Linked DNA regions of Caenorhabditis elegans. The protein of the gene in region 1 interacts with the protein of each later gene in a pairwise test. Each region holds a gene or a part of one and is shown on either strand. Other genes may lie near its edges.

The links.
Region 2: the proteins of vps-54 (region 1) and memb-2 interact in a two-hybrid assay, tested with the Caenorhabditis elegans proteins (one study listed by BioGRID).
Region 3: the proteins of vps-54 (region 1) and syx-5 interact in a two-hybrid assay, tested with the Caenorhabditis elegans proteins (one study listed by BioGRID).

The regions. Positions count from the first base shown.
Region 1 is NC_003283.11:10,573,126-10,578,943, reverse strand, and holds the start of vps-54 (Vacuolar protein sorting-associated protein 54), read left to right. Parts: upstream 1-2,524; 5' UTR 2,525-2,537; coding exon 2,538-2,737; intron 2,738-3,259; coding exon 3,260-3,499; exon of another isoform or gene 3,500-3,723; coding exon of another isoform or gene 3,724-3,768; intron 3,769-3,845; coding exon of another isoform or gene 3,846-4,010; intron 4,011-4,210; exon of another isoform or gene 4,211-4,220; coding exon of another isoform or gene 4,221-4,238; intron 4,239-4,312; coding exon of another isoform or gene 4,313-4,655; intron 4,656-4,701; coding exon of another isoform or gene 4,702-4,955; intron 4,956-5,008; coding exon of another isoform or gene 5,009-5,746; intron 5,747-5,818. Other genes in the region: erh-1 (Enhancer of rudimentary homolog), read left to right, coding at 1-8, 80-210, 256-345; mics-1 (PDZ domain-containing protein), read left to right, coding at 623-686, 735-914, 960-1,090, 1,141-1,418, 1,464-1,592, 1,882-1,981; del-6 (Amiloride-sensitive sodium channel), read right to left, coding at 3,724-3,768, 3,846-4,010, 4,313-4,655, 4,702-4,955, 5,009-5,746. UniProt on the Caenorhabditis elegans protein: Acts as a component of the GARP complex that is involved in retrograde transport from early and late endosomes to the trans-Golgi network (TGN). The GARP complex facilitates tethering as well as SNARE complex assembly at the Golgi.
Region 2 is NC_003283.11:5,617,147-5,621,050, reverse strand, and holds memb-2 (Golgi SNAP receptor complex member 2), read left to right. Parts: upstream 1-1,849; 5' UTR 1,850-1,854; coding exon 1,855-1,982; intron 1,983-2,028; coding exon 2,029-2,226; intron 2,227-2,276; coding exon 2,277-2,364; intron 2,365-2,418; coding exon 2,419-2,523; intron 2,524-2,570; coding exon 2,571-2,702; 3' UTR 2,703-2,730; downstream 2,731-3,904. Other genes in the region: M03E7.2 (uncharacterized protein), read right to left, coding at 2,812-3,062, 3,113-3,174, 3,285-3,340.
Region 3 is NC_003283.11:11,762,373-11,767,722, forward strand, and holds syx-5 (Putative syntaxin-5), read left to right. Parts: upstream 1-2,531; 5' UTR 2,532-2,546; coding exon 2,547-2,735; intron 2,736-2,811; coding exon 2,812-2,994; intron 2,995-3,236; coding exon 3,237-3,708; intron 3,709-3,753; coding exon 3,754-3,851; intron 3,852-4,305; coding exon 4,306-4,605; 3' UTR 4,606-4,850; downstream 4,851-5,350. Other genes in the region: T04F3.4 (EF-hand domain-containing protein), read right to left, coding at 475-529, 582-624; F55A11.1 (EF-hand domain-containing protein), read right to left, coding at 1,158-1,281, 1,394-1,654, 1,700-1,776, 1,908-2,006; sel-11 (E3 ubiquitin-protein ligase hrd-1), read left to right, coding at 4,972-5,199, 5,245-5,350. UniProt on the Caenorhabditis elegans protein: Potentially involved in docking of synaptic vesicles at presynaptic active zones.

The DNA.
Region 1 (5,818 bases):
TCTTGAAGGTGAGTAACAAAAACCAAATTACATTTTAAAATTAAAAGTTTATAATCAATTAAAAACTTTTAACTTATAGGAATCTGCAGAGTCTACGAAGAATATTTGAAAAAGAAGGTTCCGGCTCAAAACGAAATCACCTATGACATATCGCACCTTTTCGAGTTCATCGACGACCTCAAAGATCTTTCAATGCTGGTTCTCGACAATGTTGGTTTTTAAAACATATTTTAAATATCGGAAAAAAAATTGCAGACAACATACACATATGTCCCCCACAATAAGCAATATGTAAAGGAGAGCATCTACAAATTAATGAACAACAGGCTCAATAATCAGCACTGATTACCATCCATATGGGTTTCTCACTTCTATCTCTTTCCAACGTTCTCTTTTCTCACTTTTTACGGATTCAGTCCTAAGTTTTAAACTCTTTTCCAAAAAATGTGAAAACGAAATTTCATATCCAGTTATACAATTCATCCGCAACCACATGAATAAATATTTTTAAATGGTGTTATTTCTCTACGTTTATAATTACAGCAGTTGTTTTCTGTGTATTATTTATTTCATTTGGAATTAGTGATTTTCGAAATTTACAAAAATCTTCAAATTGTTCAGAATGATGGTGTCTCCTCCGCAAGAGGATACAGTGTTCAATACCGATTCAGATCCAGTTTATGAACGTAAGTATTAAACTATGGAAGGACTCGAGAGTTGGTAAGAATATTCAGATCATGCCGCTCTCGTTTCCTCCCCATTTCACGCTGATGAAGATCATACATTCGATATTTCATTTGCTGCAGAAGCAACGGACGACATGACATTCAATGATACGACTACAGATGGAAATGGACAAGAATCTGTTCCATTGGAGGCATTGACAGTAGTTGAAATAGAAAAAACATCTAAAGGTATAAATTGTATTTTTAAACGTCTATATAGTACTCATTTTACAGGTTTCGGATTCAATATAGTTGGTGGAACAGACAATCCTCACTTTGTTGGAGATATCGGAATATACGTCTCATCAGTTAATAGCGAGTCAAAATCATATGGAGTCGTAAGAACAGGCGATAAAATTTTGTCGGTTAGTTTCCGATTAAAGTAATTATTAATTTAAATTGTTCCAATGTTTAGTTTGACGGTATCGATATGACCTACAAGACACACGATGAAGCTGTGGAAGTATTTCGAAGTGTTAAAATCGGTCATGTGGCTAAAATGTTGATTGATCGAGAATACTTACATCTTCAAGAAGATCGAACACAAACTCCAACTGCTTCTGTTTCAATTACTCCTCAAGTCACTCCACAGACTCGTAGTACTCAGAATAATACAGACACACCAAAGTCGATGTCGCATTCGGAATCAAAAAGCCGTTTGACGTCTCATGGACTTTCGGCTGTTATAGAAAGGTAAATTTTAAAATTTTTCTGAATTTATTTCTTATTGATTTTCAGAATTCGTGGAAAAGTTTACGAAGAAGAAGATGCTCAAAGTGTTACTTCCTATGCTCCTTCCACTCATTCCATCATTGACGATGTACCGAGAACACCACGTAAACCACTTAGTCTTTTGGATCCGAGAAAGTAAGTTTTATTAATCGGAAATTAAAAAATTCGCGATTTTTATTATTAAAATCTGACTGGACAGAAAAAAAAAATTAAATATTATTATTTGGTAAATAAATTTTTTTGGTGAAATTTTGGTAAATAAATTTGTCGAGAAATGACGAGAAATTCACTTGCATCATCCCATAAGCCTAAAAATTGAAATTGTATTGAAATAAACATTTACGTGTGAATTTAAATTAAAATATTGAGTAAAAAACATTTTGGGGGGGCAGAAATCGGAAAAGTACCAAATGATAACTTTCAGCAATTCTTGGCTAACCGAAGCTTTGTATGTTTCAATCGGTCTTGGAGCATTGACTATCTCTGGATACCTTGCCTACAGATTCATCAGAGGACGCCGTTGATCTTTTTCTCCCCATTTTCTGAATTAAATACTTGTAATATTAATTGTATTACCTCTCTCTCTCTCTGCTTTCTTCTCTTTTTTCTCGGTTTGTTCAATATTCAATTCAATTTTCTCTGTTATTCATCTGTTTCACTTCGTGACAATTTTTGGTGCTAAGTATAATGCGTATTATTGCGATGTAGAATAGGAAAAAAGTAAAATTCATAGATAACAATCCCACAGGTATAAAATAGAACTCCCAGCTTCTCGGTCAAAAAAGTTAATATTCAAATGTTCTTTACATTTTATCGACGTTTTAGTGCGAGTGGTGGGAATATTTTAGCCTTTTTTCTCTCTGAATCTTTCTCATTCTTCTCGCTCCATTATTTCGCACTAAGTGCTGCTCAAGTACCATTTCTATTCCGATTCTCTTTTTTTGTGAGCCATAATAATGAATATTGAACGTTTGTAATTTTATTTTTCTCCGATTTCAACACTGTCTCTTGCAGATTATTATATTTACTATCAAAATTTTTAGTTTTTTACTAATTCTTATTTCCAGAAATGATTCACAAATGAAATCAATGGATGACCGAACAGTAGGTCTTATATCTGCAAGTTCATCAAGAGCTTCACTCAAAATTCAACCGGAGATTGGTTATCCAAGAATATGTGATTATTGTCAGCCAATTATCGAGCTTATGACGGCTTCCGAGTTTGCACGACATATTCGACAAGATCATACGACAAAAGAAGGTGGTAGCTTTCTTTGTAGGTATGTTTTAAAAAATTTTGAAAAATAAAAATTCTAAATATAATTTTAAATCACAGTCAAGGGTGTCATCGAACATTTTTCGTTAACTATATTTTTTCAAGAGAATCGAAAAATCGAAAAAATAAATTTTTTCGATTTTCTGGAAAATAAAAAAAAACCATAAAATTACTTTTTTAAAAATCACATTTTGTTTATATTGATGAAAAAAAGAAACAATTGTGTTTTTTTTATTTAAAATTAAAAATCGAAAATGAAAAAAAAGTATTTTTGCTCAAGAAACTCAAAATCGAAACATATAAAATAAAAACTTTCAGAAAACTAACCATAAAATTCAATTTTTTAAATTTAAATTTGAAAAATAAACAAATTTCTTCTAAAAATAAGAAAAAAAACCAAAATTTGAAAAATTGAAAACCGAAATTTTTCGATTGTTCAAAAATCAATAACAAGATTTTTTGTTAATTTTGAAGAACGGTTTTATATTTTCTGCAATTTATCGTTTGAAATATTCTAATTATTTAGATACGGAGAACATGGAGTATGTCAGAAACTACCACTGGAAGGAGTATGTGATCTTGATTTTGAAGCCCACATTCGTCGTTGTCACACTTCTTCTCAACCAGCTGGATATTCAAGTCCAACATCTTCATTGGTAGCAAGTTATACTGAAGATAGTGAAGAAACAGCTAGTTTGAGAAGTATACGATTGACAAGTGATCGAGATACTCCAACAATTGAAAAGAAAAAATTCACTCTTCACAGGTGAGTTCGTTTTATTTCGTTTTCGAATATATTTCAAGAGAGAGAATCATGTAGATCACAGGAATAGGTTATTATTGGGAATGGGGGAACAAAAGGAAAAAAAAAGTGAGGGAAAAAGAGAAAAAGAAGATGATTAACAACCTGAGAGGAACAACTAATTTAAAATTATGAAATTAAGAACCAGTAATTGAAGTTTGATCGATCTAACAATATAGTCAACGTTTTTAAGCTCGTGGATTAGAACTGTATCCTTGTGCATTGCCTCCATCCTGAAAAATTATCAAATTTAAGATAATTTTAGTATAGTAAAATAGAGGTGAAAAGTGACTCATGTGACAGTGCTTGCCTTATCAAGAGATGCTTGACGTGAATTTGGCTTAGAGCCCATCTTCTTCGGTTGTTCCGGTGATCCGGCTGGGAAAAATTCGGCGAACGGATTCTCTGCCAATGACATCTTCTTTCTCTCAGTTCCGTTGTCAATTGTGAAGTCACCATCCTCGTCTCCCTCGTCCTGTGCATTTATTAGAGTGGAAACGTGTTTGAAAAGTTTTTTGAAGTGGAAAAGATTTGTGTAGGAAAAGTGTTCAAAAATAAGAAAGTAATGTGTTCTCGTGAATTTCAATGCACAGATGCAGTGTCTTTCGAGTGAATGAAAATAATTGAAAGAAATGAGAAGAATAAATCTCATAATTATTGAAAATACAAACTCACTATTTTTGCATTATTTCTTATTAACAGTCTAAAATGGGTTTCATTTAATATATAATAGTTCACTAAATATTTAGTTCCATATCAATCATTTCATTGACCTACCTTTTTATCAAAAGTATTTCCCTTCTTGAGAATTCTCTCATTAACAATCTTCTTTGTGAAGTAGGTGTAAGAATATGTTACGAGTTGGATAAGTGACAAAATCGAAAGTCCAAGCCACATTCCAATGGATCCTCCCAATGCAGCGATAAACGAGGTGGCACTATATTTCCATTGTTGTTCCATAGTCAGATATTCGAATGGACCCCAGGAAAGTTCAACAAGTGTTAAATCAGGACGAAGCATACGTCCTTTTACAGAGTGATCAACCTCGAATCTAATTTGACGGCAATCGGGGAAACATTTGTTGGCGCATTCTGTGTCAGAGTAGTTACCCTTTTGAACACTGAAAAATGGTACTTGAAATCTGAAAATATGTGTCTGGAACTTACTCGACAGTACATTGTGTATAGTCACACAATGGGAAGATTTCCATGTCTTCTTTTTTCGCTAGGTAACTTAATGAAAGTGGAGTACAATGACAAGCATCACGGATCATCTCCATACGGCAACGAGATCGGCAATTGAACTCACTGTCTTCTCCGTCTTCTACATCACGGCATCTTGTACCTTGTTCGTCATTTTCTAACATTTGATAGAGTGCAGTGACATGAGCTGTTACCTCGTGACGCTGTCCCAAACAAACCTGAATAATTGCTTTTGCATACACCGAACCATTATTTTTGTTTCTGGTTTTACCTCATCAACGTATCCATCTCTAGATCTACCCTTTCCTTCCATGAATCTGTTCAATGATGATGGTCTTCCATGGAAATCTACGGACATACAGTCAATTTTTTGACCTTCAGTATTCTCAGCGTTATGAGAAAGAAGCATGTCAAAGAACACTCCCTGGTCGTCAATAGTCTTAAAATTGTCTTGATCGAATTCTGGCTGGAAGCAGATTTGCATCTGGGAAATCCAAGAAATGCGAAGTTTCGTTTTGATCACAGTTTCATCATCATCAAACGTGCGTCTTCTGAATCTTTGCATTGAACGGCGAAGAACTTCAATTCCAGTCTTTTGAGTGAACTCATCGAATGTGATTCCACGAGAGTCGAGAATATCTCTCCATTTCTTGAACGTTTTTCTCTTTGCCGCAAGTCTTGGAGCGTTTTTAAACACGTGAATGGAACGTGCTGATCCATGAGCAGTTGTCTCTCTTTCCAAACTACTATATGTAGCAATCATGTCGTATGCTTCCATTACAAGTCGATAATCCCATGGAGTCTTCATAAATGCGTCGTGATCAGTCATATTTGCAAGATTTTCATCAACAACTGCATCCCACTCATCCGCGGGCGCAGTAAGATTCAATTTGAAATGGGACCAGGCTTGTTGTCGAGACATGCAGAAAGTAACATTTGGCATTGTCATTGATTCATTGAAAACGATGTTGATGTCCGATTCTTTTGGATAGTCAAAGTATTCCTCGAACTGTAAATTCGTCGTTTGAAATTAGGAACTACAATTTTAATTGAACAGAAGGGAAATACTAATGTGATAATG
Region 2 (3,904 bases), 5.0 Mb from region 1:
AAGTGAAGTGACAATTTTTAACAGAAGTACAATATAATTTTTCTTGTAACAAATTCAAGTGCAAATAGATTGCGGGGAGCCTTTTTGCACAATAGGGATACAAGATTTTTAAAATTTAGTAAAAAAGTCGATTATTCTTATTTTTCAAAAAAACTTATACATATATTTCGAAAACAAAACGTTCAAAAAAAATTCTAACATTTCAATTGTCACTTTTAATGAGAAGTTTTGCAAAACTTGATAGTTATAGTTAGAAGCTAAATTCGTGGCGAGACCCTTTCATTATCAGACGAACAGCTAGTGCCTTCGAAGTGACGTTTCACATTTTCACAGAAGTTAATAGAAATTCCAAAAATTTCTTTAAAACGTCAATTTTATTTTCAATTTTGGTAAATATTTAACAATTTTCAGAACTCCAACTTTCATATTATATTTCAAGTCTAGAAAACCTGACTAAAAATTTCAGAGATCACTTTAAAATTATTTTTTAATAACTAATTTTAATTTTCAAAAAAAAAAACCGTAATTTTGAGCTATGGAAACTAGGTTCAATACACATTTGGAAAAACGACAAAGCCAATAATTTTACAAAGCAGAAAAAAATTATGAAACATCAGACAAAAAATGTCGCCTACACTTCCTACCTGGCACTTTCAAAGTCATTCTTTTGAAAATTGCTTGCAATTTCAATACATTCTAAGAACGCGAACACTTTTTTTTCTACTTTTCTGCGCGAAGATCTTAACTTATTTATTTATATAAAAATAAAATGGAATATCTCATACGTCAGAGACAAAACTAAAAAAACACTTTTTTTCTTTTTTCACCAAAAATGAGGCACACTTGGAAACTCGGAAAAAATGACGGAAAGCTCACCGAAAAGCTTCCCGTCCTTCTCTCAATCTCATTCTTGCTCTCTTTTTTGTGCTCTTTTTTCGTCCATTGAGCCAGATCATTGCTACGCACCCGGACCATAAAATGCTCATTATAAACCCTCCTCTCAACTTTTATCGGGTCACGTCTCGTGGGGATTTCGGGTGTTGATAGCTGGTTGTAAACATGTTTCTCGACGGGAAATTTGTGAGTTGGATTTTTGATTCTTAAATATTGGAAATGTGGGATTTTATATTAAAAAAGGAGGTTTCAAAAAATAATAGGAATTATATTCAAGGGTAATGAAATTTTCAATAAAAGTTTCCCAAATATTTAGATAATAGTGATTTTCTCACCCAGACGCAAAATTTTACGAATTTAGGTCGAATAATTCGGTTCCCGGTCTCGAAACGACTAATTTTTGTTATATTCGGGAAGGTGTGTGCCTTTAAAGGGTACTGTAACTTCAAAATTTCGATGCAGATGAATACTCCTTGAATTCTCATATTCTTCATTCAAATTTGTTATGCCATGTCCAGAACGCGGAAAAAATCCGCACATTTTCATTTTTATATTTTAATTTTTCAACTTGAAATCTCTAAAAATCAGAAACTACCGTACTTTTTGGTTTCTGCCGTCTCTCACTCTCTAACAAATGTTCGATAGAGCGCAATTGCACTAGATTTTTTCGAGGCAATTTTTTTTCAAATTTTATCTTTCAGCGAAATCATTTTTCAACGTTTCAATTTAATAATTTTCTTTCAAATTAAAAGAAATGATTATTAAAATTATTTTAAAAACTACGATTCCGTTCCACGTCATAAAAAACGTAAGCTGACGTCACATAGGCATGCCATTGAGAAATCGTGGATTTTATTTTCTAATTTCGTATTTTCTGAATATTCACTGGCATTTCTTGTTTTTAATTTTAAAAGTGAGTACTTTCACTTTGAAGAATTTTATTTTTATATTTTAGAGTCGATGGATACACAACTCAAGGCCACTAGGGAAGAAATCGACAATGTTCAGCTACTTTTGATTGCGATTGAACGTCAAACGGGAAATCACGAAGTGGATCGATTAATTCAGGATGCAAATAGTAGTCTTATGTAAAACTGATAATTTTATTTAATTCCAACAAGAATCTTTTTTTAGGAAAACTGAAACACACATGTTTCGACTGGAATCACAACTGGGCAGAGAACCGGCTCCAGTTAGACAGAAAGCTTCGTTCAAAATGGATCAATTGAAAAGTGATGTGTGTCTTATCAAAAATTCATTGAGAACAATGACAAATCGTCACACTAATCGAAAGAAGCAAGCAGAAGAAAAGAAAGCACTTCTGAAACAGAGGTTGGTAATTAAAATAAATAATCTATAGTTTTTTTAATAACTCTTTCCAGGTTTACAACAAATCAAGAAACGCGTGTGAATCTGGAATTTGACGAAGAGCTCAACTTGAATGATAAACTGAAATACTCGGATAATATGGTAAATTTTTGTGAAATCGATAAATGTAAATTAATATTAAATATTAAATTTCAGATCGATCAAATGCTAGCCCAAGGTGCAAGCGTCTTTGAGGATCTTCAAAAACAGAAGTACAACTTGCTGAGCATTCGAAAACGATTCCATTTTCTGACCAAATCCGTAAGTATATCTGGTTTCGCTCAATAAATTAGATGAAAATCTTTCAGCTGGGAATATCTGATACCACAATTCGACTCATCGAAAAGCGTGTGCGAGAAGACAAGAAACTCTTTATGATCGGTGTAATTTGTTGCCTGATATTCATGTTCTGCTTCTATTATTGGTGGCAATACTGTTAAACAATGTAAATAAATTAAATGGAATTTTATTATACAAGGAGAAGAAAGACGAACATGTGATATGAGATTCTTCGACAGATAAATAAAGAGATTCAACATTTTTCAGAGGTTACTTCTTCTTACCCATGAATGGGAAGGACATTGATGATCCCATACCGCCCATCGATCCCATTCCATATGGTGACATGCCTCCTCCGTATGGGCTCATTCCTCCCATTCCACCCATTGGTCCCATCATTCCATATGGGCTCATTCCACCCATTCCACCCATTCCATACGGGCTCATTCCGGGTGGAGGCATCGGTGGTGGCATTCCTCCGTACATTCCATTCATGCCGCCCATGCCCATTCCCATGGAACCTGAAATTCCAAAATATTGCAGTGTGAATTGTTTTTAAAGAATATCTCACCTAGCCCGAGGCTTGACAGAAGTGGATCATTGAGTGACGAGGAGTACGATGCTGGAAGAGCACTGAAAACTGTATTTTCTAGGTTCAGGGGAAAGGTGTTTCGATTTCTCGAATTTAACCAAATTTTCTGAGATAAAAACATTTAAAAGCAATATTTCAAACAGAATCTTACCTTGAAATCGCGATTAAGCTTGAGAATACAAGAGAAAAAACACTGGATAATTGCATTTTATTTTTGAAAATGACGAGACGAGAATGTAGACTTGGATCAGGCAGCAATTGACTGCACAACACCAGTTTGTCGGTCTTTTTAATGTTATGCTCTGATGGGCGTGACTGTTCTCTCTCTCCTCCAAAAAAGGTAGCAGAAGATATTCGGTCGAGTAAGCGCAGATGATCCAACCGGTTAACGAAATTGACGGGCTGCTGCTGCTACTGCTGTCATAGACCTTGCACTTCTGGGATTAGATGAGACGGGAGTGGATGGAGGAAGATGAAGAAGTTCAAAGGGAATAAAGCCTCAACTTTGAATTGTTCAATGTCACTTGTAATCCATGGAATCTCTACTTTAAAATGTATAGTAATTAAATTGAATAAATTCATGAATATTCAAACTAAATTCTAGTAACCCATTAACGTTGGGTCGCGTTGTGTCTTGACGGTAAAGCTGTAAATTCAAAATTTTTTCAATCATATTTATTACGGAAAGACAAAATTCTGAGAATGCGTATTGCGCAACATATTTGACGCGCAGAATATCTCGTAGCGAAAATTACAGTAATTCTTCAAATG
Region 3 (5,350 bases), 1.2 Mb from region 1:
AAACTAACTATAACTTCTAACTGTAAGGGAAAAATGTAAATATTAACATTTTTAAAGTAGAATTTTAAATAGTTGTCAATATTAGGAATGTCCAAAACGCTACCTATTTCTCAGCCGTGAAACTTTTTGACACCACCGGATGTGCGCCTTTAAAGAGTACAGTAACTTTTGTTGTTGTAGCGCTTTTTTTAATAGATTTTTGCTCAAATGCTTTAGTTAATTTTTTCAAAATAAAAAAATCAATTAAATCATATAAATTTTGAAAAATAGTGTACCAACAATGAAAGATCGATGAAATTAAAAAATTACAGTCCTCATTAGAGGCACACATCCGCTTGTATTTGACAAGAAGTGTCGTGTCGAGACCGAGTTATGTGCTTTTAGCGCGAAAATTGCTAAATTTCGCATATGGCATATAATTGCATCTACATTTACTTTAACCAAACTAATTTTCATACGTACACTTGCACTTACTCTTCATCGTGTACTTCTTTTTCTTCAGCAAACTTTGCTCCTTGAGCTTCTAGCACTAAAATTTAATAATTTATAAACATTAGAAAGTTATAAACAGATTTGCATACCTAATAGAAGGAATACAGTTGAGATGAATAAAAATCCACGCATTATAGAGTGGGAATATGTATAAAATCAATAGAAATAGACAGAAAACTCTTTTTCTCAAGACTGCCAAATGTCAATATTTTATTATCAGTCTCCCCCTGCTTCGCCTTTTAGTTCCAACGCAAAATTTGGTAGTGCAAAAGCAAAAGCAAACATGAATTTTATTGTTACAGGTGCTAAATACAAATTTTCATTTGTTTTTATTCGATCTCAACTAACTATAAGATAAACCAATAAATTATGCTTTTTACAAATGGGTTTCGAAAAATCATCACAACTTGAGAAATGATGGGGAAAATGCAAAATTGGAAAAATAACTAAAGTTGTAGGACTGGGAAATGGGGAGGGTGTCTGACTATTATGTACCAGTTAAAGTGTTAAAAGTGACGAGGATAGTATGATAAAATGATTTGTTACAGCAGTCGATATAACCCATCAAAAGACGTAGAATGTTAATAAAACATTGAAAACTTTGGAAACGAGGAATTGGAAATTATGGCTATTAATTAGATCGTTGTCCTAATCAGAATTCTCGATTATTGTGTGCCACCAGCTTTCTGCATTTGTTCCTGGTGAGATCTTGCTTGATCTTCTCGAAGCTTTTGTGCTTTGAGGAACTCTCCGTAGTCGATGAAGCCATCAGCATTGAAATCGTCGTCCCTGAAAATATTCAGTAAAGTATTTTTTTAAGACTTTGAATATTTTAGTGCTTTCTTATGCTAATTGCTAGCAGTAGTCTCTAGAAAATAAATTAATTAAATATATATCTCACTTTAAAATACTATCAATCATCGTCTCCAATTCAACTTCACTTGGGAGTGGTGGTGGCTGATGATTGGCATTGGCATTATTTTGTGTATGCTGTGGTCCTGGATTCTCGGCATGGAAATGCGTTATTGCCTTAATCAACTCGACTCCATCCAGTTTCCCATTTTTATCTAAATCGTGCATATTGAAATAATGGAATTGAAGTTGTTCTGGCGTCATGTTAGCAGTTGGGTCCACTTTTCCGTCCAAATGTTCTTTTATGTGGCTGAAATGTTTTAAATTAATTTTGAAAATTGTTATTAAAACTTACTGTTCATCTCTGGCCTGTTCTCCACCAAACTGCTGTTGCCCAGGCTGAGCATGTTGAGCTTGTTCCGCTTGGCCACCCTGATTTATTCAATACAATTTACAAAATTAAAGAAGCTTTAAAATAATAAAAATCACTGTATCCAGATTGTTTTTCAGTTCAATTTCTAGCGAAAATAATTTTCTTATTATTCTTTACAAACATTGTTTACCTGTTGTGGTTGCTGTTGATTAGAACCAGGAAACTGCTGTGGTTGGTGGGCAAAGGAACCAAGAATGAGGCAAGATACCACCAAAATGTTGGCTGCCATTCCTGTAATATTATAATCACTAAAATATAGACAAAACTAAGTAAGAATACAGAAAACGGAATCAAAAACGGAAGCGTGAAGTGGAAGCTGTTATTTTATTTGTGTCGATTTACGGGGAGATACGGTAATCGGGAGGCAACGTGTTCCAAATCTTACGGTAATCGCTGAAATTTCTTAAAACAATAAATCGAAACGAAAAGTTATGTGTATTTTTTTAATAAAATTAACTTGACTGAGCATTTTGGTTGAGAAATATAAAACTTAAACTGAAAATTAAACAAAAAAAAAAGAAAAACTAGTGCATTGAGGAGCGTGTTTGTTGCGCATAAAATACGCAACGCCACGCACAACCTCCGACCACACATTGATTTTCTTCTCCACGAAGTCGAGCCGGTTTAGTGGACTGTTGCGACAATGCAGCGAAATATTTGTTATTTGTTTTTCTTTTGAAATAATATTTTTACCGTGACATTTGAATATATTAATCTTTTCGACGCTTTCAGTCATTTAAACAATATTTTTCAGTTTGTTCGATGTCGGATGTCGGACTTTCACAACATTAGATCTCGTCGACGAATACCAGAAGCCAGTTCTTACTCAACAGTCGATTTTGATTACGATCCAGATCAGAAGAATCACACTTCAGCAGTTGCTCCGACTAGTTTCGCGTATAGCTCTCTCACAACCGTTTTCAACGCGTCAGCTTCACAACTTTGGAATTCTGCGCAGGTTTGTCTATCGGAACGAAGAAAGATGGCTATCTGTATATTTCTGGTTTTTATTTTTTCATGCATATATCTTTCAGGAGGCGCTTGTATCCTCCTACGACACAGCGGAAGGCACTGAAAGCATAGACGCAGATCGATCAAAGGTAGTAGAAACACTTGAATCGCTGAGTATTTTTGGAAATCCACTTGATCATATCATTATCACAATGCCATCAAGAGATCGAACTTCGGAATTCCGGGCGACAGCCAAATCATACGAAGTGAGTTTTTTCATTAAACTTCTAAAAATAAGCTTTTATTTCGAAACATTTACTTTTAAAACGTGTTATTCGGGTTTCACATCAACATTTGGACGAGACGAATATATCGATTTTTGCGAAACTCGAAATACACTTCGAACAGAAAAAAGAAACACGAATCACCTGTTAATATTTTTAAAAACATTCTAGGCGATAATATTTTTATTATTTATATAAAATTCGGGTAACATATAATTTTTCAGATGAAAGCAGCCGCAAATGGAATTAGACCTCAACCAAAGCATGAGATGCTATCTGAATCCGTGCAGTTCAATCAACTCGCAAAGCGAATCGGAAAAGAATTGAGTCAAACGTGTGCAAAAATGGAAAAACTTGCCGAATATGCTAAGAAAAAGAGCTGCTATGAAGAACGATCTCAAATTGACCATCTTTCATCAATTGTCAAGTCTGACATTACGGGTTTGAACAAACAGATCGGACAACTTCAAGAATTTTCAAAAAGACGTGCAGGAAACATGAAAAATCAAAATAGTGGACATATACAATTAGTTGTAGTTGGATTGCAGTCAAAATTAGCGAATGTCGGAAAAGATTATCAAAGCGTACTGGAAATTAGTACAGAAACAATGAAGGCTGAAAAAAATCGCCGAGATAAATTCTCGAGTGGTGCAGCAGTTCCAATGGGACTTCCTTCCTCCTCTTCCGGAGCTAATGGTATTTTATTTTCCTCGCTCATTCAATAAAAATCTGAAATTTTAGTTCGTTCAAAGCTTCTTCAAGATGATGAGCAGCATGGCTCCTCAAGCATAGCTCTGGATATGGGTGCTCTGTCAAACATGCAATCACAACAGACTATGGTAAGTTTTCAATTTGAAAAATATGAAATTTTTTTTGAAAAACTATCAATATTAAATTTCCAATGCTCCGTGTTTAGGAGAAGTACAGTGAAACTTTTTTTAAAAATTAATATTTTTTGCCAATAAAGCAAGTTTTATCGAAACTAATTTAGAACAGCAAAGAATACATTTGAAAAATTGCGATGTTACAAAAAATTTGTAAGATTTCTATGATTTTAGTTAGGAAATGTTAATATTTTCTTTGGAATTCGTTTTTTTCTTTAAAAATTTAAAAATTATATTTCTAATAGTATTAACCAAAAATTATGACTTGATAGAATATTGTAGACATTTTTGAGCGTTTATTGAAAACATAAAAATCGTGAAAACTGTAAATTGCTCAAAAATCAAACAAAAAAATAGATAGAATATAGTTAGTTTTTTTAAACACTTTCCAAGAAACAAATATTTTCAGCAACAAAGAGATTCATCATTGGAATATGCGCAAGCCCGTAGCAACACCATGGCGACAATTGAAGGATCCATCTCCGAACTTGGCCAAATTTTCTCTCAACTGGCTTCACTCGTCAGTGAGCAAGGAGAGATGATAACAAGAATCGATTCAAATGTTGAAGATACAGCTCTTAATATTGATATGGCACATTCAGAGCTTGTGAGATATCTTCAAAATATTAGCAAAAATCGATGGTTAATGATTCAAGTTTTTGGAGTTCTCATGGTTTTCTTTGTTGTATTTGTTCTTTTCCTCACCTAAACATTTCCATTTTTCATTGGTTCTTTTTTTTTCCGTGATTGCTGACTTGTTTGAATGTGTCTATTGTAAAAAAAGTGGAAAAGTAAATTCAAATTGCTTCTCCTATCACCTATAATCATTATTTTCCTCTACTATTATTTCCATGAATTAGCTTTTACTTCTCTGTCTTGACCCGGAAATTGATGGTAGAACTCCGCCTGTGATTAAAATCTTCTCTATTTTTAGCATAAAGCTTTTTAAATTTTAATCAAAACTATTCATATTATTTCTTATATTCATGGTATTTTGAACCAACTCTTACTTCTTATTATTATTATTATTGTAATTTTTTGGTTCATAATTATTTTCAGATCCCTCGGAATTCAGATGAGGGTATCAGCTGGACTAATGATTGGTGGCTCGTGTGTGGCGACTGCGGCCACCATACTCAACGCGTTCCTGATCAACAAACAGTTCTATCCATCAATCGTATATCTCTCAAAAAGCAATGCAAGTATGGCAGTGATATATGTTCAAGGAATTGTTCTTGTATATCTCATGTTCCAATTGCTCAAGTCTATTTTATTCGGAGATTTGAGAGCTGCAGAGGCTGAGGTAATTTTCAATATTAAATCAGTACTGAACATAAATAAATTTCAGCATCTGTCAGAACGTACATGGCATGCAGTTCTGGAAACATGTCTCGCATTCACTGTATTCCGTGATGATTTCTCAGCAATATTCGTTATGCAATTTATTGGTCTTC